3 linked regions of the Caenorhabditis elegans genome follow. The protein of the gene in region 3 interacts with the protein of the main gene of each other region in a pairwise test. Each region holds a gene or a part of one and is shown on either strand. Other genes may lie near its edges.

Region 1 (12,041 bases), on a different chromosome or scaffold from region 3:
CGAATGGTTCAATCTATAATTCAGGTATTTATAATTTTTTTTTTAATTAAGAGTATTAATGCTCCGAAACTCATTTGTTTTATTGAAAATCCGAATTTATTGGCGCCATTGTATGTAAAAAATAATTTAGTAAAATTAAGTAAAATTCAAACAGGTCTGAGACTTTAATGGGTACTGTAGTTTCAAAATTTCGTTGAGCTTAAATATTCATCGATTTTTCATAGTTTTCGTATGAAAATCTATTAATTTATCGAAAAAAAAAACTAAAATGAAACATGTGAAATTTCTGAAAAATCAATGAAATCTTTTGAAGTAAAGACATAAATTCCGCAGCACCGATCAAAGTTGGAAACTACAGTACTCTTTCAAGGCGCGAACATTCTCGCATTTAACAAAAAATTTGTCGAGACCGGGTACAGTATTTGTGGCTCAAAAAATAAAAATTTCGCATACAATAGTTACCAAACAATAAAAACAAATCAAAATTTCCTAATATTCCATAAATTTTCAGTCTCGCCTCGGCGATGAAATTGAATCAAAATGTGTACCGTACTCGGAAAACGCAGTCGACTGGTTCAATATGCGAATTGACGAACTCGGTGAAATCTCAGCTTATCTTAAATCCAACATCAAAAGTTATCCACCTGTCGGAACTCTTACTCTCGAATTTCTACTCTATACACCCAGTGGACAACTATTACCACTTGAAGCGTGGATTCTTAGCTCATCAGAAGGAACTGATGATTGTTCAAGAAATGAACTTTATCATGATATGAGCACATTGCTTCGATCAGCAATTGTATCAGCCAGAATGACTCCAATGCATCGATTGTATGTGAAAAAGCAGCACTTGGAGACTTTTGTAATTATGTATAGAGTTTTTGAAAATGATATTTCATCTGATATGGGAAAAGGAAAGAAAACTAGAAAAATTGGAGAACTTGTATCAAAATTTGGAAATATCAGTCTTGACCTACATTACCGAACATCAATGCATTTCGAGGAACCAGAGATTGCTCCAGTAACGTAAGGGATTAAATAGAATAATTTCCGATTTTAAATAATTATTAAATTTCAGACCTGTTGAAGATGTAGAAGAGGAAATTGATGACGGGGAAAAGACAGTTGTAGATGAAAATATTCAAACAAGAACTGTCTCAGAATGTGTTCCAATTGCTGATGCTAAAAAAAGAAAAGCAAGTGGAAGTGTTGAATCTGCTACAAGTGCTGGAAGTTCTGTAAGTTTTCAAAAAAATTTTATGCAAAGTCAAACGAATTAAAAAATTTAAGACCTCCCGAGAAGCTGCTCCTAGATTTATTCTTGGACAATCAACATCAAGTGAAGACTCTCGACATTCAGATGTTCAAAATTCTTATGAAGAAGATCACAAACCATCTCTAGCAGATCTACGAAATCATTCATTCCCATTCGTGAATCTACTACAGTCGGCATACAATCCAGCAAATGGAACCAAGAAAAACTCTTCTTCTACTTGTCTCAGTAAGAATATAAAAATAATTCAAATATTTATTATTAAATCTAGATTCTCCAAAATCAACTCCAGAAGACAAAGAGCCAACGATAGAAAAGGTTGCTGAGAGCTTCCGTGCCGCTAAAATCGACGAAGTTGTATTTGAAGAAGATGAAGATGAAGAGTTGCCACTTGATTCAATGGAGCTGAGTGAAGATTCATTTGTTCATGTAAGCCTTAGTTAATCAACGAGTCGTTAATTATTTCATTTCAGTTTAATCAGCTATCAGATTTCGGTGGTGCGCCAAGTCTTGGTAATGAGCTGGGAGACTATCTGAAGCAGCTGAAAACTGCTCCCGATATGACAGAATCCGGTGATATTGATATTTGTAACATGGACTTGAAAACAGAGGTGAGTTTGGAAATAAATAGCTAATGGCATTTAAACCAAAAACTATAACTAATTAACAAATTCAAATTTCAATCAAATTTCAGCTCGAAAAAATAAGTTCTCAAACTGCCAACTTCAACAATTTCCTGAAACACGTCAATTCGTTCTCCGATGAGTGACTTTTTTATTGAAAATTTACAATCTCCCATATTGTATACATCGCATGTACACTTTTCACACGTTTACACTCGTTTCACAATTTTTTGTGCACATATTGTTTTTTGAATATTCATAAATGTATAGTTATATAAATTATCGGGAACACTTTCCATTGCGACATTGCTCAGAAGTCTTGCAACATGCATTTCCACATTGGTCCCGAGTAACTGGACAGTTCTGAAACTTTTGAAAGTTTATGGGTTTCTCTGTGCAGTTTGAAAAACGTATACAATAAGTTTTTAATTATCTTTGAACTTGTTTACCGATAGTCTTGGGAAGCAGCGGTTTCGAAGACATGTCTGATCAAAGTTACAACATTCATAAGCAGAACATTGTGATGCTTGTACTCCACACCGGCTCGTGGAAGCGGAAGCTGGAATGTAAATCCAAAGATCATTTGAACAAAGAACTAAAAAAAAACCTTTTGAATAACTAGGTGTTGGAGTACTTGTTGGTTTTTTCTTGCCAAAAGAAAAGATTGATGAGAAAATATTGTTGGAAGCGGCGGATTCTGTTGACACCACAAGCACCAAAATTACAAGAATCAACGATAAGATCTTCATTCTAAAAATATTTTTTTGGAATATAAAAATAAAATGTGTTATGGGTTTGACAATTATTCAACAGAGACTTCAACGAAGAAGAAAGAGAAACAGAGAACGAGAGAAGAATGAGCAAGTGATTAATGTCAGGTGATAGAGGATTAGAAGCTCCCCTAGAACGCAGGCAAATCGTGTTGAGACCAGTGTTTCAATATTAATCATCTTAGCGAGAGATATATAACTTATAATAAGTAGGGATTACTCTTAAAATTAATTTTTTGTTTGACCGCAAATCGCTACCTTGGGTCCTGGCACGATCGAAATTTTTTCTCTACCGTGCCCTCGTGTATTTATTATACAAATCTCAAAAAATAAGCTATGTAAGAAAATAGCTACAATACTTGAGGGTACTGTAGCTGAAATGTTTCGCTCGTGACAGGATCCTGTGATCAGGTCCTGACGATAGGAACCTTTAAAATGAGCAAAATTTCAACTTGAAACAGGGGTTGGTAGTTTTTTTTTAAATTATGTAATTTCAAAAAACCGTTTCTGTAGAGTTTTCAAACAAAATGAAATTTCATGGAAAGAATCAGTTAAGAACTGAAAAATTCAACTTACTAATCGATTTTTATCAATACAAATGTTCAAATAATCAAGTATTCTGGCCTAGTTTCGAAGATAACACAATTTTCAAAAAATGACGAATTGACATAAAAAATTTGGAAACTAATTTTGTGACAATCCTTTGTTCAAATGGCAAGTGATTCATGATGCAGTTTAACAAGAAAATATCTTTGATCATTTGAGCAAATAAAACGTTCGTTTTATTGCGATTTTCTGACATTTTTTTTGTGATTTTGCAGTTTTTGTGATGTCATTTCATATTGTTTTATTATGTTTTTATCAAAGAAAATAAGAAAAAAGGCATAAAAAGAATGAAAGTTGGTAGTTTTGTTTGTCTGCATGTACATATTTGTGTTTCTTTACTCCTGATGATGATGATTCTGATTGTCATTTGTTGCCTCAAGGGCCATATTGATTGAAGCTGGTGCACGTGTATTCGCGTTCTTTTTGAAAATTTCGCGAGCTTCCTTATTGCCATCTGCTTCGAGAATATTGACACAGAGACGATCACGTTTGATTAGGTCACTGGTAATTCGGGCGATCTGTAATCAAATGTTCAAGTGGGTTGTGGGGTGGGTATGGTATACGTGTTCTATTTTTGTATTTAACAGGCTTTGAAGATTTCAATTTTGCTATTTTCTGAAACGATGACTTTCGACTAGAAACTCCACGCAACCTGGACTTTTTTGGTGGTGGTCTTTTGGCATATTTTGGCAATTTGACTTTCTTTTGGTACTTTGGTATTTTCACTGATTTTGGAATTTTTTGTTTTTTTTTTCAGACATGCGCGACTAAAAGAGAAGCAGACTTCAAAAATGTAAAAAAAAACGTTTCAGGAAGCTACAAAAATGCAATAACAGAGAGAACAATAGAAAATACTTTTATATTTCCGATATCCATATTTTAAATTTAAGCTAATTTATCTAGCTTCTAATTTTCCAAAAGTTTAGAAATTTTTAATCTAAAACCTGAAACCTGAAAACCTAAAACCTTAGTTCAATCGGGATTGAAATAAAAATGTTCAAAAATTGAAATTTTGTGTTAAAACTTACATGAAGTGGAAGACTTTGTCCAGGCTCAACAGTTGCATATACAGGTGTCACTCTGTACATATTGTTGTCACTGCATGTGATTTTTACTGCTATCCGATCTGAAATATTTGTATTAGTTTTTTGACATTTTTTCCCAATTTTTGCTTGCTCATTTGAAATTACAACCTAAATCGAGTTACTCAAAACCATAGCTCAAAAAAACTCACTATCAGAATGATTCATAAGGGTGTGTGTTGAGAGTCCTCCTTCGATTGAAAAACGGGCGACACGTGGAATTACAGTAACCCCAGCAGCAATGTGGCAGCAGCATGTGCATCCTGGCTGGCGTTCTGATCTGAAAGTTATAGATTTATTTTGCTGTTTTTCTACATATTGTATTGTATGTTATTTTTCATGTATTTTCCAGTTTATTTTCAAAACTAAGCTAAACTACTATTCCATTTCATGTTGTATTTTTCTTATGTTTCTTAGTAAACAATGATAATCATACCTAAAACTGTCAAGTACAGAACGTGGCCTGTCAACTGAAAAACTTGGAATCCGACAAGCTGGTCTCACATTATAGATATTCATCAGAAATTGTTTTTAGAATTCAGGAACAAAATAGAAGAAATAGTTTCCTTTTTTCGTATAAAAACGGAATAAGAGGCCTCTCGTCTCTCAATTCAGTTTGTAGCGACAATTTAAAACATGAAAATTGCTCGCCGAGCTCTGGTCTTTTCCGGAGAAAATGTTGGATGTTTGAAAAATTCTAAGGTAATAATAGTATATAATTGGAGAAAAAAATACGTTTTTATGATGAGAATTTAATGTTTGTGGTCTACATTTTTGAATTCGTTGAGGAAGAAATTTTGAAGATTATCCAATTGTGAGAACTTTAAAAAATCTGTTTTGTTTTTTCATTTATTTCAAGATTTGAAGTAACTCTTGAAAAAAATTAAGTGTGAAATCTTACCTTCCTGAGCTTCTGCTTGATCTAGCCGACCGCATTAGGTACTCCATATCCGAGAGAGCAATAGCTGAAAATCCAATATTAATAATATTGTAAAAGGTAGAGTTGAACCAGTGGGGAAATAATCGAGGCAACTCTTTTCGAAAACTTTCTGAAGTTGTTCTCCTCGAAAAGTGACTTTTTGGTGAGATAAGCTTGTTGAAAATTTGAGTCAGCTTTTTATATTCTGGGCGAGCCCGGCACTTTGTGAATTGTATCAAATTAAGCCTCGAAAAATGCTTACCTATCATTGGTTCTGGAGCACTAATCTGTTGTTGTGTCTGTCTTCCAGTTTGTCTTCCAGGTGTCAATCGAGCCGTCCCAAAAGGACGAAGAGCAGCTGAACTTGAAGAAGCCATTGATGATGAGCGGATGTCTTTGAAGTTCTGAAATAAAATGAAATATTGAAGAAGAAAAAGATTGAAAGGAGTTGGTTGGGGTTGTTCTGCAGATGACACTTCTATGGAAACGTCACATTTTGAAACGGGAGGTCGGAAAGAAGAGGTCAATGATGTATCCATGGGAGATGTATATGTTGAATGGCGTTTTAATGGAGTTTTTACACTTCTCTATTTTTAAACGTTGACCGATTCTTACAAGAATCAACATGCAACTTTTATAAGAAAGCCTGTCATATTTCCTTAATTTTCCCTTCTTAATAAAATTTGTGAAGAATATCTGAACATTTTAGAGAGATAAAGGTTAGTGAAGTCTCCATACAGTTTAAAAGCGCCCTGTAGAACCCCAATCGAGTGGAATGTCTAAAGACAAAAGAGTTTTCCCATCTACCATGGTTTTGCCTCTGGAGCAAGATTATCAGGTACGGTGATTATCCGAATTTGTACTACAGAACAATGTCACTTCCAAAAAATGAAGCTGTCCGAGATATAGAGCTCAAACGAAAAAGAGACACTGTAACTTTTTTAAGATGTGAAATTTTTCGGTTCCAATGTTCAAACTCAAGCTATAGCATGTTTTAACCAAAAAAAAAGTGTGTTAGAACAATATTTCATGGCAACGGAAGACTTCAAGCTCACTTATACAAGAAAAAGGAGCAGCACATTAAAAAAGGAGAGAAAGTGCTCCGAATGTTCACTCCGGAAATTGCTGGGAGCAGCAGCAGTCGGTAAAAAAATGAAGGCGTTTTGGGAACGAACAAAGAAAAAAGAATGAGCGAGGGAGGTGAAGGGTACAATTAAAGTACGAAAATGTAAGATGAAATTGGTTTGGTCTTTATGAAAATAGATGTTTGACATTTGCAAAAAAATAATGGCATTTCTCAAAAATGAAGAACCAGAAAATGAGTTTTGAAACAACGGAAAACTTCAATAAGAGGAATTGAATTTGTACTATTTAGATACCCGGTAAATTGATAAATTAACAGTTGATACCTAAAGTTTATTTTTAAAATAAAAATGATTTCCAAAAATTAAAAATTCATTAAAGGTATATTTAGGGTATTAGATTTCTCGGTTCTTATTTTAAAGTTATCAGTTTTTGAAACTGCATAAGGAATATATCTCTTTATTGGCCAAAAAAAGTAAGTTGGTCAGAAATTCCGAAACAAAAAATTTTGTCTAATTAGACCTATCTTAATTTTTAATATCTTCAAATTTTTTCTCAAACTAAAAAAATTCAAGTCTTCCAGTGTTTACACCTTTGTGAGAGTCACCGAAAGTGCTCCAAAAAGAGCCCAAAAAAGAAAGTTTTGTGCTCATCGAACATCATCATCATTTCTAGTTGAGAGAGAGAGAAAGGTCCGAATGAGTAGAAAAAAGCGAGAGAAGAGCAGCAGTACATTCATAATAGACATAATATAATTGCTCAGCGGCTCGAAAAATGACGGCGGTGACTAGGGCACGACCACAAAGGATAGAAGATTGTTGTGTATGTATGTGTAGATGTGTGTGGACGGGATTGTTGGGTCAACCAATGTGGGGGTGGCATGAAGTTTATAGAAAGTTTAGAAGATATTTTCATGCTTTTTATTATATTCAGGTTGTCTTAATTGCATTTTTGAAATACTCATGAAGATCGAAGCTGTGAAGTTGTTTCTATACGAAGGTCAAAAAGTTGTACCACGAATAAAATTCACGGTTTATAATTTGAAATCTTGATTTTCAGATTCTCAACTGTCTAGAAACTATGGAAACAGTAAAAACTTATTTTTGCAACTTTGGAGCAATCCGGAAGTTTTGCAAAACTTGCAACTAAAACTAATTTTCCAAAACCAGAACAATTGCAAACTGGAAAAAATTACAAAAAAAAACAAAGATCAACTTTTTCAAAACCGAAACCCAAAAAATGAAAACCAGTGTCCCTTCAAAAAAGTTTTGAAAATTCGCGGTGCCCCCCGCTCCCAGTGACAAGGGAATTTAAAATGCGAGTGTGGGAGGAGGAATGAAAAGAAAATGAAGAAGAAAAGATCAGACAAGTTATGACTCATTTTATTCAATTTTAATTACAAAAGTGCACATTTTATTTAAAGCTATCAAACGGGAAATATATTGAATAAAGTGCAGCTATAGAATATGTGATTTGGATTAGATTAATTCAAAAACTTGGAGTCTTTTGACGTCCTAACTGTCTTTTGACTTGGAGAACTTTGGAGTCAGAAAATTTTAGATTTTGGTTATAACAACTTCAGTAAATTATATAAAAACTCCAAATTATCATTGAAAGGTCTACTTTTTCTGTTACCAGACAGGGGAAACATGGTGAAAAGTTAACAAATTAGATTCAATTTTAAATTTTAAATTTCAAGTCCAGAAAGTTTTAAAGTAAAATGAGGAAATGGTTGATGTCACGTGAATGTGGCGGATTCCCATGGGAAGAAAAAATGAAAAAGAGGGTTCACATCGTTTGTGGCCAGCTTTATCACTTGAAAGCCAATGAGCTAAAGAGTGAGCTTCTCGTCTTTCTTCTCTTATTTTTATACCACTGATACTCATAGATATAACATTTTTTCAAAATGAAAGAAGCTAGAGCAGAGGAGTTCAAAATCGCTTTGAGTTAAATGATATAAATATTTTGGATGTAAAATGAAATCTGGTGGAAAACATTGAAAAAATAGTTGGAAGTAAAAGATTTTGTTTTCCAATCACATCAATGTGTCTTTTTTCTATTTAATTACAGATCGGTAAAAAAGAAAACACAGCCATTTGTTAACTTAACGTTAAGTCCATGAACTTGTCGGCTCTTTCTGCTGGAAGTGACTGTCAATTAATAAAAAAAATCTACAAATGACGGTTCTTATATATAATCAATTTATTTATTTTTTTTGGCAAATCAAAGATCCACCAAGGGATGAACTGTCAAAGTACAGCAATGGGGTAGAAGACTTGGGAAAAATACGGTTTTAAGTATGAGAATCAGGATTCGGAATTTCAAAAATCTAATAAACCACTTCAATTTCCAGTAAGAAATATTAAAAGACAGAGTTTTGGTGTATAATTGGCGTTGTTAATCGAATTGAGTTCCTTCAACTCCATTTCTTTTTCCTTCCTCTTTTTTGTGAAGGAAAAGGATTCAGAAATCTAGGGAGATTGTATGTATATAGGCACATTTAAAAACTATTTGAAAAAAAAACAGATATAGCAGTAGTTTCTTACAGGTTGATTTATTGTGCAACTTAGAAAAGTTGTATAAAAAACAAATTTTATCCCTGGCCCACTCATAAAAAGTAGAGGAATGGTTAATTTTTGCAACCTCCAAGACTTACCTTTGCAAGCATTCTGAGTCGATGTTCGGTACGAGATGGACGGGTTGTAGTAGTTGAAAAAACATTATTATCTTCATCAATATTATGAATTGGACAATTTGTTATGTCTTCAAGAGCCACGTGTTCAGCCATTGATCCTGAACATTAATTTTTATGGGGATTTTTTGGATCAAAGTGCAACGATAGAGAAAAGAGGCAATTGTAATTATGTATGTAGATGAAAGAGTTGCTACAAATCGATGTATACTATATCGTATACTATCTGATGTATACTATCAAAGGTACTGAAAAAACAACTTCATCAAATTTTTAAATACATAACAATTCTACCAAAACCGAAAATAATTTTAAGCAATCTAGAACATGACTGTCAAAAGTTTGAATCTAATACATAATAGACACCATTAATACCTTCTTAAAAAACAAATCGTGATGTTTTATGGTTATATTTATTTTGGTACAGCGGAAGTCAACTAGTTTTCACATGAATTCACTTATATTTTTAGTTGAACATGAACACACATTTGAAGGTATTCCCGGAAAAATAACAAAATTATTATAAAGTGTAGACACGTGTCGGATATGCGAACTTTGGTGGTTCATAAAATAATTGCACGCTTCATGCATCAGGGATTGCAACTTATTGAACGATATTTTTAGTTTGAAATTATTTGGAGATTCAAAGTTTCAAACAACCTTCGAAAAAAAATCAAAAATATTAAACTTTCTATGAGCGACTAGTGTCCCTATAAAATAAACTATAGTTTATTTAAAAAGGGTTTTATTTAAATCTTTTCAGGTCTCCAAGACTAAAGAAAAAATTGAAAAACAATAATTAAACAAGGAAGTTAATTCACACTGTGTCCAAAGAATGATTGAATATAATGAATAAAAATAAATTTCATATCATGTTTAGTTATTATTCATGAATTCAAGGAAGAAATACAAATGAAGAAGAGAGAAATAAACGAGAGAAAAGTCGTGCTTTTTGTGAAGATTCAGTGAAGGGAAAGAGAGCAAATTTCGAGAATTTGAGATTTTCAAAGTGGTCAAGAAGTCCGTTATTTGGAGAAGAACGAGCTGAGATATCAGATTTTGAAAGACTTGAAGTAGTGGTCAAATGGTCAATGGAATGAGTAGGAAGGGATAGATAGGTATGGAGTATAGCAGAATTTGAAAGTAGAAAGGCTTTTGAGTATTGAGATGTGGCATTTACAGTTTTTATTTCAATTTTATAATTTACTAGTTTATAAACATTTTTCACTTATTCTAGATGCAATATTCGAAAATTTCTGACTTGCAAGAAATCTATATAATTGTTTTGGTATGATTTTTCAGAAAGATGATAATTTCAAAATCTGAAATTAATTTCAGACTGTTTTATCAATTTTAAAGCTGAAAATGAAACAACTTAAAGTTCATATAACCAAAGGATGGTATTTCTGATGAGAAATTAATTTTATCAATAGAGAATTGGCAAAGCTAATTAAAAAATTCAATCTCTATCGGAAACTATATATTACTCGATTCTATTGTTAGTTTAGAAATCGTAAATCGGGACACTAGTATAGAAGTCAGTGGGAAATAAAATAATCAAGTTAGAGAGAAAGGATGAGATTTCTGAACAAATTTGTTTTGCTTTCTGACTTTTGGACAAACAATTTTGGATTATCCATTTGGGAAACTTGGTGAAAGAAAGAAAGTTTGCAAAAGAAAAATACGAAAGAGTTTACATTAATCATTGTGTCAGTAAAGGTTTCCAATATCATGCAAATTTATGACTTTTTACGAGAAATCGCAAGATATAAATATTAATTTATTATTTGGTACATTTTACAGCAAACTATAAATAAATTCTTCACAATTGAAAAATCGTAGAATAATCTGAAAAGGTATCTATGCTAGTATGCTCACTTATTAATTCAATTAATTTTTAATAGGTTTTTTTTTAATTGAAGGAGCTTAATCCTAGGGGATGTTGTACAAATATAATAAATGAACATTGTAAAAATTTTAGATAAAAAAGCTCAGACAAAGTTTTCGGTAAAGTACTAAATTTTTTGAAAAAGTAGACTTTCTGAGAAATTTCAAGCATTGCAACTTTTAACCCTAAAATGTTTAAATGCAAACAGTTAAAACATAATTAAAATAGAAAACTCATGTAAAAATATATTTGGTCAACTTCCAAAATTGTGAACTTGTGATATTCGACTTTTTGAATGTAAATAAATTTGTGTGTAAATAAAAAATCTGTTTGAGTTTTACAACGATATTTGGTCGTTTTTGGAACATTTAAGCAGTAGAAATATAAAGTGCAAAAATCCAAATACCAAGAAAATTCAAAAAAAAAAGTATAATTTTTTTAACTTTAAGTGTCATTTATTTTGAGTGAAAGATGAAATAAAAAACGTTATTTATCTATGAATCATCGGGACATTTGAGAAAGTTCAAAAAAGAACGCTGCTCTCGAAACAAAAAATTCACTTTTATTATTCCTTGTATTCCAATATTTTCTACGAATTCTGAACGCTTCTATATTTTCAAAAAAAAAGCGAAGTATGTTGGAAAAAATGGGCGGAGCTTTTCAGGAATGTCACCAACTTCAATTTTGGTGACGTCGAAAATTTAAGTCCTGAAATTTAAATCCATATGCATAAAACATGGAGCTCTACATACAACACCAGATAGTCAGAACTACATTTGTTTCAATGCCTCTAAGGAGTTAAAAAAGTACGCTCAAAAACTCTAAAAATAAAGATTTTCTAAACTCAAAAAAAGGTGCTCAAAAGAACCCAAATGGGAGAAAACCGGGGGTGTTGTCAGATCGAATCCCCTGATATCTCGTCCATCCATTTTCGTCTCTGCTCGCCGAGCACCCATGAATATTACAAGGAGGGTGCGGGGAATTGGTGGTGGTGGTGGTGGCCTCCTTTCATCACATCATTCGTCATTTCACCAAAACGATGCATCGAAGAATGTTTGATGTATGTCCGTTTGCAGTCCGAAGCTTGAGAAGGCGGGATTAAAAA
Region 2 (8,909 bases), on a different chromosome or scaffold from region 3:
GAACCAGCACCGATTGATGTGGTGCCGGATATTCCGGAGTTCGAGTATGAGCTGGTTGAAAATATGATGATGTCACCCGGTTCAAGTGTCGAATCGGTGAATTCAGTTGGAATTCCACGTTTCGAAGACGGGCGGCATCCGAATGTGAAGTTGTTCGTTGTGGTGAGAAACTGAGATTTGCTTCGAATCAAAAAAATATGCTGAAAATATCACGGATTTCTGGCTTCGCCCATATTTTGAAATGGAAGAGTTTTTGCCGCGAACTAGGCCAGGTTCGCGGCAAAAACTCTCCCAATTTTCTCGATTTTAGTTGTAAAACTAAATGTGATTTGTCCGTGTGGAGTACACGACTTTCCCAGGGCGATTATCAATGGAGCGCGAAAATTTTAATGAGGAACAAGGGTGTCAAGTCCCGTGTCCCGTTTGTCCCGTTGTCCCGTTTTTTGAGTGTTTTCACGGGAACGGGACGTCCCGCTGTCCCGTTTTCAAAATTATCACGGGAACGGGACAATTTCTCTCATGATTTTGTTGCACATTTTAAAGTTCTGTTTTTGAGTTTTGTTTCAAGACTTAAATTCATGCAGATTAATGACTTACATGCAGTTTTTTTTATAATTTGCCTCGAATACACTAAAATTTACGCCAACTATGCACTCTTTTTTTTAACCGCCCAGTTTGTCCCGTTTTTTGAGTGTTTTCAAAAAAACGGGACGTCCCGTTGTCCCGTTTTCGAAATTTTTACGGGACATTGACACCCTTGATGAGGAAAGCCAGAAAGAACCCCATGTCGAAAATACCACAAAAGAATTGCAAAAAAAACGAGATTTTTCAAATTTGGCTGAATTCCCTCCAAAATTAGAACTGCACGACCAATCAGCGCCCTCGGACTCCGCCCACTCAAATCGCTGATGGGTCCTGCAGTTCTCATTTTGGAGGGAATTCAAACAGGAAATTGTCGAATTTAAGTTTTTTTTTTTGGATTTTTTAAAAGCAAAATCCTCCATTTTTCAAGATTTTCGCGTTACTTGGCAACATATTCATGATCTACCAATCGATACGTGACATTCCGCGACAATATCGATCGATTATTTGTGATGCTTTCGGGTTCAGCGATTGTTTGGATAGTTTGGAAATGCAAATTCCCATAGTTGAGGTAAAAATATTATATATTATTATCCAGACTTGAAAATTTCAAATTTTTTTTGCTACAAAAATGCAGTGGCCGGGTCTCGACACGACAACCTTTTGTTAAGTTGAATGCGGAAAGAGTGTGTGCGCCTTTAAGGAGTACTGTAGTTTCAAACTTTTGTTTCTCGGGAAAACTGTAAAATCGATTGCAACAAAAGTTTGAAACTACAGTACTCCTTAAAGGCGCACACTCTATTGGCATTCAACTGACAACAAAAATTTGTCGTGGTGAGACCCGGCCAGTGCATTTTTTAGAGCAAAAATCGCCAAAATTTCGCATTTTTTGCAGTACTGTGACCTTTGCCTCCGTGTTTCCATGGAATTCATGTTCCCGGTGGGTGTGCTCATTGTGTTCTCGATCACACAGATTCTTATCACAGTATCTCCGGGAATGGCTTCTCGTATTCGGAATCCGATTCCATCACTGGCTTCGTTCATCTATATGTCATTTGTTTGTTTTTAACCTTCTGATACACCTAATCTTTTCTGAAATTTCAGTTTTTCAAGTGCATAACGAACTTGCTCACGTCTATCGCGATGCTACCCTATCTTGGATGTACCGATCAACCATCATTTTGGGGGGAGTATCTCGCTGCCGGCTTGTTGGGACTTTTCTGGATGTATTCGCTGCTTAACATGGGTGTATTCACTAGAATAACCTACCACAACTTCATTAGAGCACGAGAAAATTACGAGAGACAAGTTGTGCGGAATGGGATGGTGGTGGAACTTGAAGTTTAAATAAATAAATGTTTGGTTGGATAACGGGTAGATTAAAAATGAGCAGAACATTTGAAACACAAATACGGGGGAAAACGGGATGCGTATATATTTAATTAGACCCTGGAAGATGTTGAGCTTTGTGGAGTACCAGATGGAGTTCTGCGGCTTGAAGGGCCAACGAATCGCTGAAAAACTTGTTTTTATCATCTTCCAACCTTAAAAATAAACTTACGTTTGAGCTCACTGAAGTAGCTGCAGATGCTCTTGATTGAATTGATGATCTGGATCCAATGGAACTTCCAGCTGGCGTAGTTCTGGCCGATGTTGCTCTGCTCGAATTCGCGCTCATTGCAATCAACGGAGGACAGATGGCTGTCGAGCATACTTCCATGATGGTAGCAGCACGGCGACAATCATTGACAGTAATGGATTCACGGACCCATGCCAGGAACCTTAAAATTCAGTTACAATTATTTTTACAAATCCTGACACACTCACTTTCCTCTACATGGAGTCTCCAACTCTCTGAAATCCACAAATCCCATCGAATCACTCTCCGCCAACTGCTCATGATCGCAATTTGGCTTCAAGTACACTTGGAACAAGCGCTGAATATTTTCCTCATAGAATAAAAACTATTAAATAATTGAAGACTAACCGTATCACCAGAGACCGAGTAATTTTTACAAGTGAACGCTGGACATGGAGAACATTCGGTGATCATAATTTCACTGTCGACTCCAGCTTGTCGCTTTCCAACGAATTGAACTCCTCCGCCAATGGGGATTCCTTCCTTCAAGTTATTGGGGATTTTGAAGTAGACATTCGGATGTTTGGCACAAATGACAGTGTCTTCATTGATTCGAATTCCTTTGACTGGACCAACAACGAACTGAAAAATTCAGGGGTGAAAAGGACGAGTTTAATTTAACTTTAGAGACCTGAGTATCACGAAGCCAGTTTTCAAAAATGGACATTCCCGATGTACGAACAATGCGGTAACGGACAGATTTGTTTTCTGAAGTTCGAACAGCACGAACTTCGGCCTGAAAATTGAAAGCGTTTGTTTCAAAATAAGACCCACTCATGATTACCATAGCCTTCAAGAATTCATAACCAGCTGGATGAAACTCGAAGAATGAAAGAAGATGGTGTGGGTCATCAATCAATCCAAGAGTGCCCTCCTTGTCAACGAAGAGACCTCTGATACTGGCAGGAACGACGCGGGTAAGGAGCTGAAATAAAAATTATGTTCTGGACAAAAAAATCAATATTATAACTTACATTTCCGTTGACAGAGGTTACATGCTGTCTGAGAAGTGGAACTGGCTGAAGCTCATAGATCAGAAAACCGTTGTGCTGCATCGACCAAATAGCACTGAAATGAAAGTATTCTCCGACGGCTGGGTAGATCAAAGTCTTGTCCGTTCCTCGGGAAAATGGCTTCTGCAGTGGGATAATAAAGTCGAACTGCGAGAGTTCTTTGCAAATCAGTAGGCGTTCGCCGACATACAGGCCAAGCTGCATCTTGATGACCTGCAAAATCAAATTGTCAACGAGAATCCACAAAGCAACCTTAACCTCGGCCCATTTGTCTTCTGGCAAGTGCCAGCCTTCTCTCGGCTCGATATCAATTTCGTCGTCGCTATCAGCAGGCTTTGGATCCGGGCGCCAAACACCGAATTTAGAGTCAGGAGAGCCTGCGTTCCATGGCTGAAAGTTATTTGTTCAAAATCCCGTAAAAAATTTTTAAAAAGCAAATACCGCTTCACAGACGCGTGCTTGGTCGGATGGATCGCAACTGTCAAACGATTCGAATGTTGCAGTCATATTGAAAGGATCTAGACCACTCTTCATGGTAGTTTCGAATCGAATCCAGGCGTATAGCCAAACGTCTGGCTCCGCACGGGTCGCCTCTGTCTCTGCTGAAATAAATATATGGTTAGAGAGACGAAAATCAAGAAGAAACATACGCATGGTGACGGTGCATAATGGCGTCCAGAACGAGGTCGTTGAGGTGGGCTGGATGACGCCACCGACTTTCAAAATAAGTCCATTTCTGCTGGAAGACGCTTCATAAATTGGTTTTTCTCGTTTGATATGAAGGATTATCCTCTTATCGTGATCACAGTCCGATTCGTTCCATAGGATGACTTCACCGAACTTTAGCGGGATTTTGGATCGACGTCTAAAAATTCAAGTGTTAACAGATTAAAAATGGGCTCAAATCAAATAAATACTGACTCAAGATTTTTTGCCTCTTCGATATTATCGAAATTCCTCTCCAAGTTTGTTGGAACAAATGCGCACTTGGAGACACCGTACATGATGTTCTTCGGGGCCGCTTTTCCCTGAAAACGAGCTTATTATTTTAAATATGAAAACGGAGGGAATTCACGTACATGAGCTTGAATGAGATAAACGAGGTCCGTCTCCGAATCTTGGTTATCTTGTCCAGTGGAGGAAATGACGATACCTTGATAGTCAAAATATTTGGATTGGCGTTCTGACATTTTTGTCTGAAAATTGGATTTTTTGCAACAAAAAAATGATGAGCGAAACGAAAAAAAAGAAAAATCTGTAAAAAACGTAGGATTCGAAACAAATTTCCCACGAGAAATCAGATGCGCGGCGCAGTGGTCTCACCACGAAGAGCTACCGTACCTTAAAGGCACATTGGTGTTCAATGGCGGAAAAAAAAGTTTCGAATTTTTCCGTTTATTTTTCCATTAAAATTCTGTTTTAAAACTTATTTTTTCTGATTTTTCAGCGAAAAAATGGCAGATATTAGTATCCGCTCGACAAATTCCAATATATCTCGAGGAGCACGTCCGGAATCAGGCCGCCTGCACCGAAAATACCCGTATCGCTGGCTTTTCGATCAAGTTCATGTCAAAGTAATCGATTTTTTCCGTCTAAAAGCTAAATTTTAATTTTCAGAGCCTGATATTCCATGTGGAAGTGGGAATGCTCGCCATTGCCATCATCGGGCTCTACAGGGCCAGTCAAATGAGTGTCGACGAGCATTTCGAGCCGCCATCCGTTCCCGGCTTCGATGGACTTCAGTGGAACGGCGAAACGTTTCGAAACTTCAATGGAGTGCTGATCCGCCCGAATTATGTGCCGGCTCGGAATTTAATCAATATTTTCTCGTATTTTCTGATTTTTAGGTAGGGTTTCAGGGGATATTTTAGACTTTTTCCATCGATTTTCTTCAGCATCGCAACCGGATTCTTGGGAATGAGGCTCTCCGAGACGAGCATCACACGTCGAAACTTTCCCCGGAAAGTCAACCCGGCTCTTCTACTCATTCCATCCGCAATTTCTGTGGTATTTTGCTAAAAAAAATCGATATTTTCCCTTGAAAATCCTAAATATTTTCAGATTTCCATCTTGTACCCGCTCTCCGTGTGGACGCTGCGGACTCTTTACTCAATAATAAAGCTTTTAATCAAGGAGAATCTGAAATTTTCGATTTTGTTAGGTAGAATTTTTAATTTTTAATTTTTAAATGTGGACTACACCCTGTGGGGAAATTGCTTTAAAACACGCCTATGGTACCACAATGACCAAATATCACGTTAAAAAACTTCAAAAAAAATTTATAAATTTTATATGATTTTTTGAAAATTGAAAAAATCTGAAAAAGTTTTTGCCTAATTCCTATTTGAATTACCGCCAATTGAACTCGTTCGTTGGAGCGCGCTTGCATTATTTTTTTTATTAATTTATTCTATTTTTCTTCTATTTTTTCATTCCGTGATTATTTTCACTCGGGAATCGCTCGCCCACTATGGGGGAGTCTACGCAAGGACAACGCAAGGACAAGGACAACATTTTAATGGAATGGAAACGATTGCCCGACTGCACCAATTCTAGTTCAAGCGAACAATGATAACTTTTGTATTCTGTATTCCTTCACGTCTCCCAGCGAGCGTAATAAATTATTATTATTATTATTATTATTATTATTATTATTATGTCACTGATTTTCTTCATTAGTTGTGTATTTTTATCGGAAAGAGAAGTAAAAAAGCAAGATTAATGCAGAATGTTTGCTAAAAAGTGTTTAAAAATGTGAAAAATACGTAAAACTGTAAAATAATGAGTTCCGACGACAACAAACCTGAAACTAGCATATTTTTCAGTTTTACGCATTTTCAGTGATTTTTTAATCGGAAATTTGCATTTATTTTAACTTTTTCTCTAAAATTCAAGCAAAAATACACCGAAAACATTGAAAATCGGTGGAAAATAACAATAAATAAAATAAATAAATTTAAAAACGTGCAAGCGCGCTCCATCGAACAAATCCAATTGGCGGTAATTCAAATAGGAATTAGGCAAAAACTGAGATTTTTTCGATTTTCAAAAAATCATATAAAATCTAGAAAAATTTTTTGAATTTTTTAATCATGATATTTGGTCATTGTGGTACCATAGGCATGTTTGAAAGCCATTTCCCAACAAGGGTGTAGTCCACCTTTAAAGATTTTTAATTTTTAATCTGAAAAATCTTGATTTCTTCACTCCAGACGCCTGCCGATTGTCGTTTCTTCCCATCATCCTAGTGTGGGCAGTCTATATTTATTTTCTCTACGGATTCTGGCTAGGCGTGCTATATTACCAGCGACGAGGCGATCAGCCATCTCCGACTACCAATAATAGTGGGTTTTTCGAGGAATTTCAGGCCGAAAAATGAGAATTTTAGGCCCTTTTCGACGTCCAATCCGCAAGCAAACTGCTCTTCGATTCCAGGGAAAAGGTTAAAAAAAATTTTTTTTTTTGCTTTTTCGTATTTCTATATGCACTTTAATAGCGGAAATCATCAATTTAGCGTTTATTCCATTTTTTCAGCCAGCGTCAATTTGTTCTCGGATCTCACGGCTGTCACCAACGAGCTGGGCTCTCCCTCCTCACCATCGTCGAATTGGTAAATTATTCTGTGTTTTGGAGACGGAAATCATTGGAAAAAATATTATTTATCTGCAAAAATCCGAGATTTTCCTCAATTTCGCTATTTTTCAGGGTTGAAATCGCAAGAATTTCGGAAATTTGACTTGGAAATTCCCTAAAAACCTCTTTTTGCTACGTTTTTCGTGTAAAATTCACTGAAATTCTGTTTTTTTTAAGTTTTTTCTCTGAAAATCGTTAATTTTAGCCGAAAAATTATTGTTTAAACTCCGCAAAAAATCCGAGGTTCTCCTCAATTTCTATATATTTCGTGTAGAAATTGCGAAAATTCTGATTTTTCCTTAAAAAATTTCTGAATTTTTTCCATTTTTAGTATAAAATTCACTGGAAATCCAGTTTTTTGCCTTTTTCCCTTCTAAAACCGGTGTTTTCTCTTAAAAATCATTGACCAGATAAGATTTTTGCACAAATTAGGCATTTGCACGATTTTTCAGAAAATTTCCATTCGCAAAAAAAATTTTAAAAAATTTTTTAAACCTTTAAAACCGCTTATCCTCATTTTTCTGTAAAAAAATTGCAAAAAAATTGTTTTGATGTTTTAAACTTGAAAAAACCGTTTTTCGCCATTTTCTGCCCAAAAATAGCAAAAAAAAATTTTTTTTTTGATTTTTCAACCCTAAAAACAGCTTTTCCGCATTTTTCTGTCAAAAAAAATTGTAAATTTTTATTATTTTTTACCCAAAAAAACACCGTTTTCGCCATTTTCTGCCCAAAAATAGCAAAAAAAAATTTTTTTTCGATTTTTAAAAATTTATGCTCTCAAATTTCTCTCATTTCCTCCACCAATCCTTTCAATTTTTCAGCGTAATATCCACTGCAACCACCTCAATTCCCTCCACCAGCACCAGCAGCACCACCACTCCAAAACACAATCGATCAGTATCGCCACGTGGATTCCGTCATCTGGAGACCGTGGACGAGGAAGCGCAAAGCCGTACATCATCAAGTGATTAATATAATATAATAGAAAAGGCAATTAAAACCGATTACCAGATTCCGCAAATCTTCATCATCATCATAATTTTACAAAATTGTTTTCTAATAAACTTCACATTTCTCTCTCTATTCTCTCCATGTATATCGGCGGTCTATCGTCACTTTTATCGGTAAATGTACTTTTATTTTCTTTTTTTTTTTCGTGAATTTCGCAAAAAAAGCAGCATCGCACAGAAAAAGAGGCGGAGCGTAAATTCGCAACCCTGCGGCACGGTTTTTTGTTGATTTTTTGAATTTGCAAAAATCGCAAGTAATATCAAAAACCGTTCCGCGGTGTTGCGAAACTACGGTCCGCCTTTTTTCTGTGCGGCGCGGTTTCTAATCCCCGCCAGGCTGTCCCATTATGGTTTGATCTACAAAAAATGCGGGAATTTTTTGTCCAAAAATGTGTGGCGCCATGCGAAATCAGTTGAGACCTCTGCGTCTCTTCTCCCGCATTTTTTGTAGATCTACGTAGATCAAGCCGAAATGAGAGACACTGACACCACGTGTGCTTTTTGATTCGTGAATTTCGCAAAAAATCAGCATCGCACAGAAAAAGAGGCGGAGTTTGCAACCCTGCGGCACGGTCGGTTTATTGTTGATTTTTTGAATTTGCAAAAATCGCAAGTAATATCAAGACTATTGAAAAAGATCAACAAAAAACCGTGCCGCGGTGTTGCGAAATAACACTCCGCCTTTTTTCTGTGCGGCGCGGGTTTTAATCCCCGCACGTGGTGCCAGGCTGTCCTATTATGGTTTGATCTACAAAAAATGCGGGAATTTTTTTTTAATGTGACGTCAGCAAACTCTGCATCTCTTCTCCCGCATTTTTTGTAGATCAAACCGAAATGGGACTCTCTGACACCACGTGATACCCCAATTTTGAGAATTTTGCTCCAAAACAACTCGGGTCTCACCACGAATAATTTTTATTATTTTTTGTCGTGTCGAGACCACGAAATTTTCCGCTTATTTATAATATTTTTCTGTTTTAGCGAACTTCACAAATGTATCAGCCATGCCGGAGCACCAGCTCACGTGGCAGA
Region 3 (9,530 bases):
ATTTCCACAATAGACTGGCTAGAATGTAGCATTCTAAATATTTGAATTTAACAGAAAATATTCAATTTCTCTTTAAAAAAATACTTGAAAATTAATTATATTCCCAAATTGGCAACATTCTTTCCCGATTGTCTTTCTGTCCATTTAATTTGTCTGCCCTTTCTTTTCTCACCTTTTTTATCCGTTTCTTTCTTTGTCACCTCCGAAGTTTTGTCAGCATTTTCCGTTTTTTTCTCCTCATATTTTGTTTGCACTTTTCACCTTCTAAAAAAATGATCGGCAGAGACACAAATAAATGTGGCCATTCGTGTGCTCCGTTTTCCAAATGAAACCCGATTGGCAGAATTTATGGTTGAAAATGCATAGTTATTTAGGAGTTGCAAAGAACAGTTTTCATTCTTCTTTTTCTTTGTCTTCTTGTTAATTTGGTAAACTGATCAGACGTTAATCAAATTGATAAACTTTCAAGTTCAGTGATTTTTGATTTGTTTTCTGAAAACGAAATTAGTTTTTTCTCTGATAGACTAAGTCTTCGAAGAATTCATCTTCCAGATAAAATCCAAAAAAAATGTGTTCCAGAATATCCTAGTCGGTCAACTAAAAGTCAAGAACCATAGATTAAATCTAGAGTTACAAAGTTTCGTCTCTTCTCCAGAGTCAAGTTACTCGAGTTTTTATGTTTCCTAGAGAAATACATTGTTTCTTTTCATTGTCGATCAATGTCGCCCAGAGAACATTATTTGTCATGGTTACCACTCGCACACACTACACAATTTCATTCAGTCATCATTTTTTGTGACCCGAGAAGATTTCAGTAAATATTTTCATGTTTGTAAAGAGACTGGCGCATCCACTTTTCTCTTACTGTTTCTTTCTTCTCTCGCTGCCCTGTGAAAAAAATGGAAGTGGAGTAAAAAGTGACCGATTTATAGTGTTGTTCCAGTTGTTCCAATTCATTTATATTGTAGACTGCGGTTCGCTACTAGGTATATGATTCGAAAGGAAAAATTACATTTTTTAGTGCTAGAAATTAACATTATTCCATTAAATGTAACTAGCTGAAAGTAAGCAGTTTATTACTCTGCCAGTAAAAAAGAATTGCGCAGAATCATTATGAAGTACATCAATATATCAATTAACGTATTTCTTTTTGATTTTTCGTTGTATAAATGAAACAATAATCTCACTTTTAAATAACATTTATGTGTATCTAGATGGTTTACTTTGAAACTTGTAGTTTCTACTATTTACCTCTCAACACGAGTAATTTTTGTGAATCAATGTTCGTCATTCTCACTTCAAAATCTAGTTTATAAATTTACAGAAATGGCATGCAAACGTCATTCAGTGTCCGATCCCATTTCGAAGGATCTCGTCGAGTGTCTTCGTGAATCAATGCAAAGAGATCTCAAATTTGAGACTCCGTACGTTTTCGTGATATTTGGAGCATCGGTATGACATCTATTCCATATATATCGATTATTAATTATTTAACATTTTTTCAGGGAGATCTCGCAAAAAAGAAAATATACCCAACACTGTGGTGGTTGTTCCGTGACAACCTTTTGCCAGTCAACATCAAATTTATTGGATATGCCCGTTCCGATCTGACAGTTTTCAAGCTTCGTGAATCTTTTGAGAAAAACTGTAAAGTTCGAGAAAATGAGAAATGTGCTTTTGATGACTTCATCAAGAAGTGCTCATACGTTCAGGTAAATCTACATCTGCTAATAAATAGGCGTGAAACTTTGTTCCAAAAATACAGTGCTCGGTCTCGACACCACAAATTTGTGTTAAATGCGAAAACGTATCACCTTTAAACAGTACTGTAGCTTCAAGCTTTTGTCGATTTCAGATTTTAAAAAAATTGTTTTAAAACTGAAAAAAAATAATTGCAACACATACATTTTTTTTACAAATCAGGTAGGAAAACTACGAAAACCAACAAAAACTTGAAACTACAGTACTCTTTAAAGGCGCGCACTTTTTTGCATTCAACAAAAATTGTGGGGTCGAGACCGGTTACCGTATTTTTCGCACAAAATCTTGTTACTGGGTAATAAAAATTTGAATCGAAGCTTTTTTCTAGAAACTTTGAACATAAAAAGCACCATTGACATTTTTTCAGGGCCAATACGACACTTCTGAAGGATTCCAACGCCTTCAATCTTCAATTGATGATTTCCAAAAAGAAAGCAATAATCGTAGGTTTAGAATTAAATTTCACTCAATCTAAGCAAATTTATAGAAGCCGTCAATCGTCTCTACTACCTCGCTCTTCCTCCATCAGTTTTCAACGTGGTTTCTACGGAATTAAAGAAGAATTGTATGGATCATGGTGATTCATGGACACGTGTTATCATAGAAAAACCATTTGGACATGATTTGAAATCATCTTGTGAACTTTCAACTCATTTGGCGAAACTTTTTAAAGAAGATCAAATCTACCGTATTGATCATTATCTCGGAAAAGAAATGGTTCAGAATTTGATGGTTATGCGGTAAGAATGTTTTTTCAAAGTATTTGAAGAGATTTATAATTTTATTTTGAACTTTCAGATTTGGAAACCGAATTCTCGCTCCATCTTGGAACCGCGATCACATTGCATCAGTTATGATCTCATTTAAAGAAGATTTTGGAACTGGTGGCCGTGCTGGATATTTTGATACAGCTGGAATTATCCGTGATGTTATGCAGAATCATTTGATGCAAATTCTAACTTTAGTCGCCATGGAGAAACCAGCAAGTTTGAATGCTGAAGATATTCGTGATGAAAAGGTCAAAGTGTTGAAAGCTGCTAAAGTTGTAGAATTAAAGGATGTAGTAGTTGGACAATACATTGCCAGTCCTGAATTTGATCGTGAGTTTTTCAAAAATTACAATTTTATAAAAGTTTTGATTTTTAAATACATTAATTTTAGACCCAGAAGCATCACAAGGATACAAAGATGACAAATCAGTTCCAGCCGATTCGACTACTCCAACGTATGCTCTTGCTGTTGTTCACATCAATAATGAACGTTGGGAGGGTGTTCCATTCTTCTTGCGTTGTGGAAAAGGTAGGGAATATACAAAAAAAAACCGAATTTTTAAATTTCAATATTATTGCAGCTCTCAACGAGAAGAAAGCAGAAGTTCGTATACAATTCAAAGAAGTCAGTGGAGATATCTATCCGTCTGGTGAATTAAAGCGATCCGAATTAGTGATGAGAGTGCAACCAAATGAGGCAGTTTACATGAAACTGATGACCAAGAAACCTGGAATGGGATTCGGTGTTGAAGAAACTGAACTTGATTTGACTTATAATAATAGGTTAGTTTTTGAAATTTCTCTTCAAAAAAAATTTCATTGTGATAATTTCAGATTCAAAGAAGTCCGTCTTCCTGATGCTTATGAACGCCTATTTCTCGAAGTATTCATGGGATCTCAAATTAATTTCGTTCGAACTGATGAGCTTGAATACGCTTGGCGTATTTTGACGCCAGTTCTCGAAGAGCTTAAAAAGAAGAAAGTTCAACCGGTTCAATATAAATTTGGAAGGTTGGTTGTGTTTCTTTTTTTTTAAAATTAAATACAGTAATCCAATTTTTCAGTCGTGGTCCAACTGAAGGTGACGAATTGATGAAAAAGTACGGTTTCATCTTCACTGGAACATACAAATGGGTTGCTCCAAAGCTATAAATGATACCAGATCTTCCTCTATTCATTCTCTTTCAAATGTTTGTAGAAATAACTTCAAAAATTCAGCAGCTACTAGTTCATATGTTTTCCTGTGTTCCACATCAATATTATTCCTGCTCTTTTTTCATTTGTTAATGTTCTATTGAATGAATGAAAATAAATACGTTTTCAGTTAAAAGAAGTGTAGAACGATAAGATAAGCCAGTAAAAAGGCTTATTTTAAATAATCTGTATTCAAAAAATAATCATTTTTTCGACAAGCCGGTTACGGTGCGCCAGTCCGCAAACACTCTGCATACACTCTACTTCTACAGTAGTGGACGTGCGACGCGTGTTGCGTCGCGCATCATCATATTGTTCAATTCTTGTTCAAGTTCAATCATATTTTCTTCGGATTTCTATCATTTTCCATCGGATTTCCCATCATTTTTGCACAAATGTTTTAAAGTATCAATATCTTTGATTTAAAAAAAAACGTCTTTCTTGTTTTACGTCTTTTTCTTGCTAGCTGCACATCGTATTACTCATTCTTTTTTTCAGCCATGGTTGCTGCTTCCGCTACCCGGAACATGCTCCAATCATATGGAAAACGTGGAATTTACGTTTCACTTGCTGTCGCTGTCGTCTCGACTGCCGCATTCAACGCATTTTACGTTTGGCCACGTCACAACAAATATGAAGAGTTTTTCGCGTCAGTGTGATCCTCGCACAAGTGTCTCCCGGGCAACGAGCAAACTTGCAGAAACTACGATTCGTACACTCGAATGAAAGAGATTTGTTCTGCTAACAAGGGGTACATGCATACTTGTCCAAAGGAATTGGCGAAATTGTACGAAGAGAAAGGGAAAGTTGTTGCCGAGCACTAAATGTTTGATAAATTATTCATAATAATACAAGTCAATAAAGTCTATCATTTCTTTATTCAGTTATTTGTTTTATTCTTGATCAGTACTTTGTGGTTTGTACCACATTCATATATTTTTATCTAAAATTTTCTATCCACGAAAAACCTCCCTTTATAGATAAAAATGGTCGAGAATAAGAGTTCGTACGAACTGCCTGATCAAAAAACTCTTGATATGAACAAAGAATGGGTGCAGGAGCTGGAGGATGTGAGTTTCCAATTGTTTAGCTTATAAATATATTTTATTTTTTATTTCAGATTTTCTACAGCTACAAGAAGTACGATGTGAACAAGGTCAGAGTTCAGCAGTTTTTGGACAGAAGATCCGATTTCCTCGTCTATGACTTTTACACCTCTAACCTGTCAATGGAGTATGTGAACAATGTCACCTTTAATAACCTCATTTATACAAATTTTCAGTGCGATGCAGTATTTCCAAGCAGGTGTAACTCAAAAGGACGTCGGACTGAGCAAAGACTACATCCTGCTCATGCGTAAACTGTACAGTATGCTCACGGAGCCGAGCAAGCAGTTTTTCCAGGAGCAATTCGTTAAGGAATGGCAATATCACGAAATTGATTATACGCCATATTTCGAAACACTCGTTCCCCGATTCAGGGAGAAAATTGCGAGATTATTGGATGAAATTGTCAAAAATCCTGAAGAGGTCGACGACGATGTTCAGGAAGAGGTTGGATTTATAATTTTGAAACAAAGTTCATATTGATATTTCAGTTGCGCTGGCACCTGCTCTTCTCACCAGTCACCACTCTTCTGGACATTTTCACTCGATGCCTCAAGAACTTCGAAATCACTGGATTTTGTTTAAATGTGTGCCTAAAAGTGCCACAATTGTTCTTCGATCGTCCGCTGAAAATATATCACACTGAATACGAAACCGATCGCGTTGAATCACTCATGGCTCTGGTTTTCCGCAGATTGATTTTCAATAAGCGCTGGGTGGATACAAGTGACGAAGAGTGGAGCAATTTGGAACAACTCGCAAGGGTGATATGCTCAGGACAGGAACCCTCGTTGATGTCTGCATGGCCACTTCTGGAAGTGGTGCTTTGCGAACTCTACACTCAGAACAGAACTCCCATGATATCAGTGGAAGTTTTGAGCGAAATTGCTGTGAAAATTGTTGAAAACTTCGATAATTTGAAGTATGCCACGTCGGCGAGAACTAAACCAGCTGAGAATGTTCTTTTGACTCCTTCGATTATTTGTTTCTTGCTCAACATTATTGTTGACGAGAACGTATCGAATACAGTCATTGAAAACTGTAAAATGATTCTCAAGGCGATTGGTCAAAACATGGAGCAACCGTTCGATGCTGAAGCGAAGAGCTACTTAACTTCTAAGGTTTTGAAAGAATTTCCGTGGACCTTAGAATTCGCAATCTCAACGTGGTTCAAGGCTCTGGAAGTTGAGAAGCGACGCATTCCATCAGCAGTCTACAAAGCAATCAATGCAGAAATGAAGGAGACATTCGACGAAAGAACTTTCGATATCGAGGAAAGCGAAACTGTTGATCAATCGATCAATGAAGAAGACGAAGAACGTTGTTCGACTCTATCATCTGAATCTTCAGTGAAAACTGCGATATCTATTGACCATAAATCGGACACCGCTGTTGATAATCTGGAGATGAATCAACTGCATCTGAGCCCAAAGCCCAAGGCTTCTGTAGAGGCAGTGAAAAGCTGTAAGCCCGCTTTTGTCGCAGTGATATTCGAGGAAATTCCACCCGAAACTGATCAAAACATCTCAGTTTTTGAAGATCCAACAATTGAAGTTCTCACGGAATACCTCGATTGTATCATCACAATGGGAGTGTTCGACATCTCGTGCGCCGACGAACTCATGCGTCACAGTTCAGTCACGTTCGAATCCTCAGAACAACTGGAAAAAGTAATGAAGACGGCGTTTGAGGAGAATTTCGAGATCGCAAACGCTGGTCCACAGCGTATCAAAGAGATCTCTGGGAAGATTTTGGAGGTAATGTTTTGTCATTGTCACTAGGAAAGATTTTAATTTGAAAAATACACTGAAAATGAATGGAATGCTTTTTCGTCGTGTCTTTTCTGATTTTCTAACTTTACAGGTTTTCGGCTCAACCTCGTCGGAATCGGACCACGACCGTATCGCTTCATCGATCATAGAGCTCATTCCAACAGAAGAATATGAAAAGACTGGGCCAAGATGGAGTCATGATATAAAGAAATCGGAAATCATTCAGCCTCTGGTTATCCCAGTCGAAGCAACGTTGGAAAGCTGGCCACCAGCTGGTAAGAAAATATAATTCAAAAGTAATTATTATTTCATTAATAATTCTGATTTCTTGCAGAGTACCGTTACGTTGCTCCTGGTATCAAGGAATCTCGTGACTCTGCACGACATGAACGCCTACTACGCCAGCAACTTGCAACAACCAAATCTTTGGAAATGGCTCAACTTCATCGCGATTTGTGGGCGGAAAACGAGAAAAATATGGAGCATTGGACACGCCCAGCGTCCCCTTGCAATAGTTCATTTTTCGCTGAATCTAGCGTGAAGCCAACAACATCAAGTATGGATTTTAATGCTGATTTTTTCAATTATAATTATTGCAGGCGCATATGGCAACTCTTCGAATTTCTCTCGTTATGCAGACTGATCGTCTCTGAAACTTTCTTATAATGTTCCTTGTGTTCCTTTTGTTACTTTGTTGTTAATTTTTCGTTCTTGTTTTTTGTTGTAAAATGCTTTATGCAGGTTTTTACCTGACACTGATTTTGAGCCCACCAAGTCTTCGTGATGGAACTTCTACCCATTTCAAAGACTTCGGGATTAATTGTTTTCCCTCTGAATTTTTTATAATTTTTCCCGATTTATTCTACCTCACCGTGAACATTTTAACCCCTTAATTATCCCATGAGACCGCTCATTTTTATAAAATCGGTAGGACGCGAATTTCTTTGTTTATTATGGCATTGTGATATAGTGGGGGATGGGGTGGTATGCAGGGCTTAGCTCATGGTTTTCCTTAGTTTTCTGACCGATCGTCAAATATAGGTGAAAACTTAATAACAATATTGCATTCAGGGCTCGAATTTCAAGCAGACCGCTTATAAATGCAATACAAAATTTATTAAAATGGGATTGAAAAATTGTAATTATCGTAATTCTAGAATTTCCTCATACGTTTTCTGACAGAACATGGAAGGTAGAAAACTTTATAACAATATTGCATTCAAGCAAACAACTTATTAAAAATAAATGTAATATGAACTTTATTAAAAAATTTATTAATGGGAAAAAGTAGGATTTTGTATATTTGTGGCCCTAAAGAGGCCGTTGGGTTCGGTGGGTTTGTTTAAAGAAGAAAGTTCTTACTCCTTATCTCCTCCAGTCTTCTTTGGGAGAAGAACGGCTTGGATGTTTGGAAGAACTCCTCCTTGGGCGATGGTCACTCCGGCCAAAAGCTTGTTGAGCTCCTCGTCGTTGCGGACAGCGAGTTGAAGATGTCTTGGGGCGATACGGGTCTTCTTGTTGTCACGGGCAGCGTTACCGGCCAACTCGAGAACCTCAGCAGCGAGATATTCAAGAACAGCGGCCAAGTAGACTGGGGCTCCGGCTCCAACACGTTGAGCATAGTTTCCTTTGCGAAGAATACGGTGAAGACGACCGACTGGGAATTGAAGTCCAGCTCTTGATGAGCGTGACTTGGCCTTTCCTCCGGTCTTGGCTTTGCCTCCCTTTCCACGTCCAGACATGATGAGCGATTGGTGTTCGTAAGACGAATCTGAAGAATGAATCGAAACTGTCTGTTTATATTCATTTCTACGGTGGAGGGGCGGAGTTTCATGCGGGGACACCTCTATTTGAACATTCCGCACTCTCTGGTAGGACACATTTCTCTCACTTCTCTTTGTCCCCCTATTAACCTCGGTACATTCGGAATTTTGTGTGCACTCAGTAATGTGTCCCCGCGGGAAGCTCCGCCCCTCCACCGCAGTTTTTACATAAATAGGTGTCTCTCCAACCATTTCCTCATACTTGATTCAAGTTCATTCTCATCATGCCACCAAAGCCATCTGCCAAGGGAGCCAAGAAGGCCGCCAAGACCGTCGTTGCCAAGCCAAAGGACGGAAAGAAGAGACGTCATGCCCGCAAGGAATCGTACTCCGTCTACATCTACCGTGTTCTCAAGCAAGTTCACCCAGACACCGGAGTCTCCTCCAAGGCCATGTCTATCATGAACTCCTTCGTCAATGATGTATTCGAACGCATCGCTTCGGAAGCTTCCCGTCTTGCTCATTACAACAAACGCTCAACGATCTCATCCCGCGAAATTCAAACCGCTGTCCGTTTGATTCTCCCAGGAGAACTTGCCAAGCACGCCGTGTCTGAGGGAACCAAGGCCGTCACCAAGTACACTTCCAGCAAGTAAGCCATTAGGCTGAAAACTACCCCACCGAACCCAACGGCCCTCTTTAGGGCCACAAATCTTATAATCCTATGTTATTAACCAAGTGAATAAATAATTTTCAATTATACTCTTTCATAATTTTCAGGTTTTGCATTTTCCAAGTTCAGTTAATTTGAGATTAACCCAGTATTCATTTTCTAAAAGTCATTCTTTCAGAGAGAGAAATTCAAAGCATCTTCGGAATTCTATCTTTCAAATTGTAGATGGGATTCTTCGAATATTTCCAAAAACTTGTATTTCCGTAGTTTATGAAGTTGCACAGAGAAAGGGAAGCTAATGGCCGAGGCTTATAAAAACTTTCGGTTTTCAATCTTGTTGGAAAAATCTCGGGTCATCTCACAAAATTGGTTGAAAAATGTTATGAAAAACTATTACTACATCAAATTACAAGAAGTTTGAAAAAACGCTATGAAATAATTACTTGATTTCCGATATCAGGCGAGATATATGATTCAGGCACTGGTTTTCA

What was found.
Region 1: the proteins of edg-1 (region 3) and D2007.2 interact in a two-hybrid assay, tested with the Caenorhabditis elegans proteins (one large-scale study listed by BioGRID).
Region 2: the proteins of edg-1 (region 3) and deps-1 interact in a two-hybrid assay, tested with the Caenorhabditis elegans proteins (one large-scale study listed by BioGRID).

What each region holds. Positions count from the first base shown.
Region 1 is NC_003281.10:8,146,077-8,158,117, reverse strand, and holds D2007.2 (Major sperm protein), read right to left. Parts: upstream 9,145-12,041; coding exon 9,013-9,144; intron 5,678-9,012; coding exon 5,536-5,677; intron 5,320-5,535; coding exon 5,256-5,319; intron 4,635-5,255; coding exon 4,507-4,634; intron 4,399-4,506; coding exon 4,301-4,398; intron 3,791-4,300; coding exon 3,608-3,790; downstream 1-3,607. Other genes in the region: atg-13 (Autophagy-related protein 13 homolog), read left to right, coding at 1-24, 512-1,026, 1,079-1,238, 1,291-1,501, 1,545-1,702, 1,747-1,884, 1,968-2,042; D2007.1 (uncharacterized protein), read right to left, coding at 2,176-2,259, 2,346-2,455, 2,504-2,645.
Region 2 is NC_003279.8:501,992-510,900, reverse strand, and holds deps-1 (P-granule-associated protein deps-1), read right to left. Parts: upstream 4,429-8,909; 5' UTR 4,425-4,428; coding exon 4,314-4,424; intron 4,263-4,313; coding exon 4,156-4,262; intron 4,100-4,155; coding exon 3,885-4,099; intron 3,837-3,884; coding exon 3,676-3,836; intron 3,625-3,675; coding exon 3,493-3,624; intron 3,448-3,492; coding exon 3,196-3,447; intron 3,147-3,195; coding exon 3,006-3,146; intron 2,958-3,005; coding exon 2,853-2,957; intron 2,804-2,852; coding exon 2,570-2,803; intron 2,520-2,569; coding exon 2,410-2,519; intron 2,364-2,409; coding exon 2,144-2,363; intron 2,097-2,143; coding exon 2,025-2,096; 3' UTR 1,930-2,024; downstream 1-1,929. Other genes in the region: Y65B4BL.7 (uncharacterized protein), read left to right, coding at 1-162, 1,013-1,153, 1,478-1,639, 1,687-1,929; Y65B4BL.4 (Dolichyl-phosphate-mannose--protein mannosyltransferase), read left to right, coding at 4,689-4,808, 4,852-5,081, 5,130-5,241, 5,296-5,395, 6,447-6,578, 6,623-6,676, 6,769-6,844, 7,689-7,839; Y65B4BL.3 (uncharacterized protein), read left to right, coding at 8,871-8,909. UniProt on the Caenorhabditis elegans protein: Component of P-granules which is required for P-granule formation and integrity in adult germ cells. Promotes the accumulation of glh-1 mRNA and localization of pgl-1 to P-granules. Involved in RNA-mediated gene silencing (RNAi) in the germline.
Region 3 is NC_003282.8:11,316,095-11,325,624, forward strand, and holds edg-1 (Protein edg-1), read left to right. Parts: upstream 1-4,705; 5' UTR 4,706-4,711; coding exon 4,712-4,795; intron 4,796-4,845; coding exon 4,846-4,958; intron 4,959-5,007; coding exon 5,008-5,278; intron 5,279-5,322; coding exon 5,323-6,588; intron 6,589-6,694; coding exon 6,695-6,878; intron 6,879-6,937; coding exon 6,938-7,159; intron 7,160-7,202; coding exon 7,203-7,246; 3' UTR 7,247-7,542; downstream 7,543-9,530. Other genes in the region: gspd-1 (Glucose-6-phosphate 1-dehydrogenase), read left to right, coding at 1,327-1,452, 1,506-1,712, 2,129-2,204, 2,249-2,501, 2,560-2,861, 2,923-3,060, 3,113-3,314, 3,366-3,542 and 1 more; B0035.18 (Mitochondrial cytochrome c oxidase subunit VIc/VIIs domain-containing protein), read left to right, coding at 4,226-4,374, 4,426-4,549; his-47 (Histone H2A), read right to left, coding at 7,962-8,345; his-48 (putative histone H2B 4), read left to right, coding at 8,651-9,022. UniProt on the Caenorhabditis elegans protein: Plays a role in regulating deps-1 cluster formation in the germline.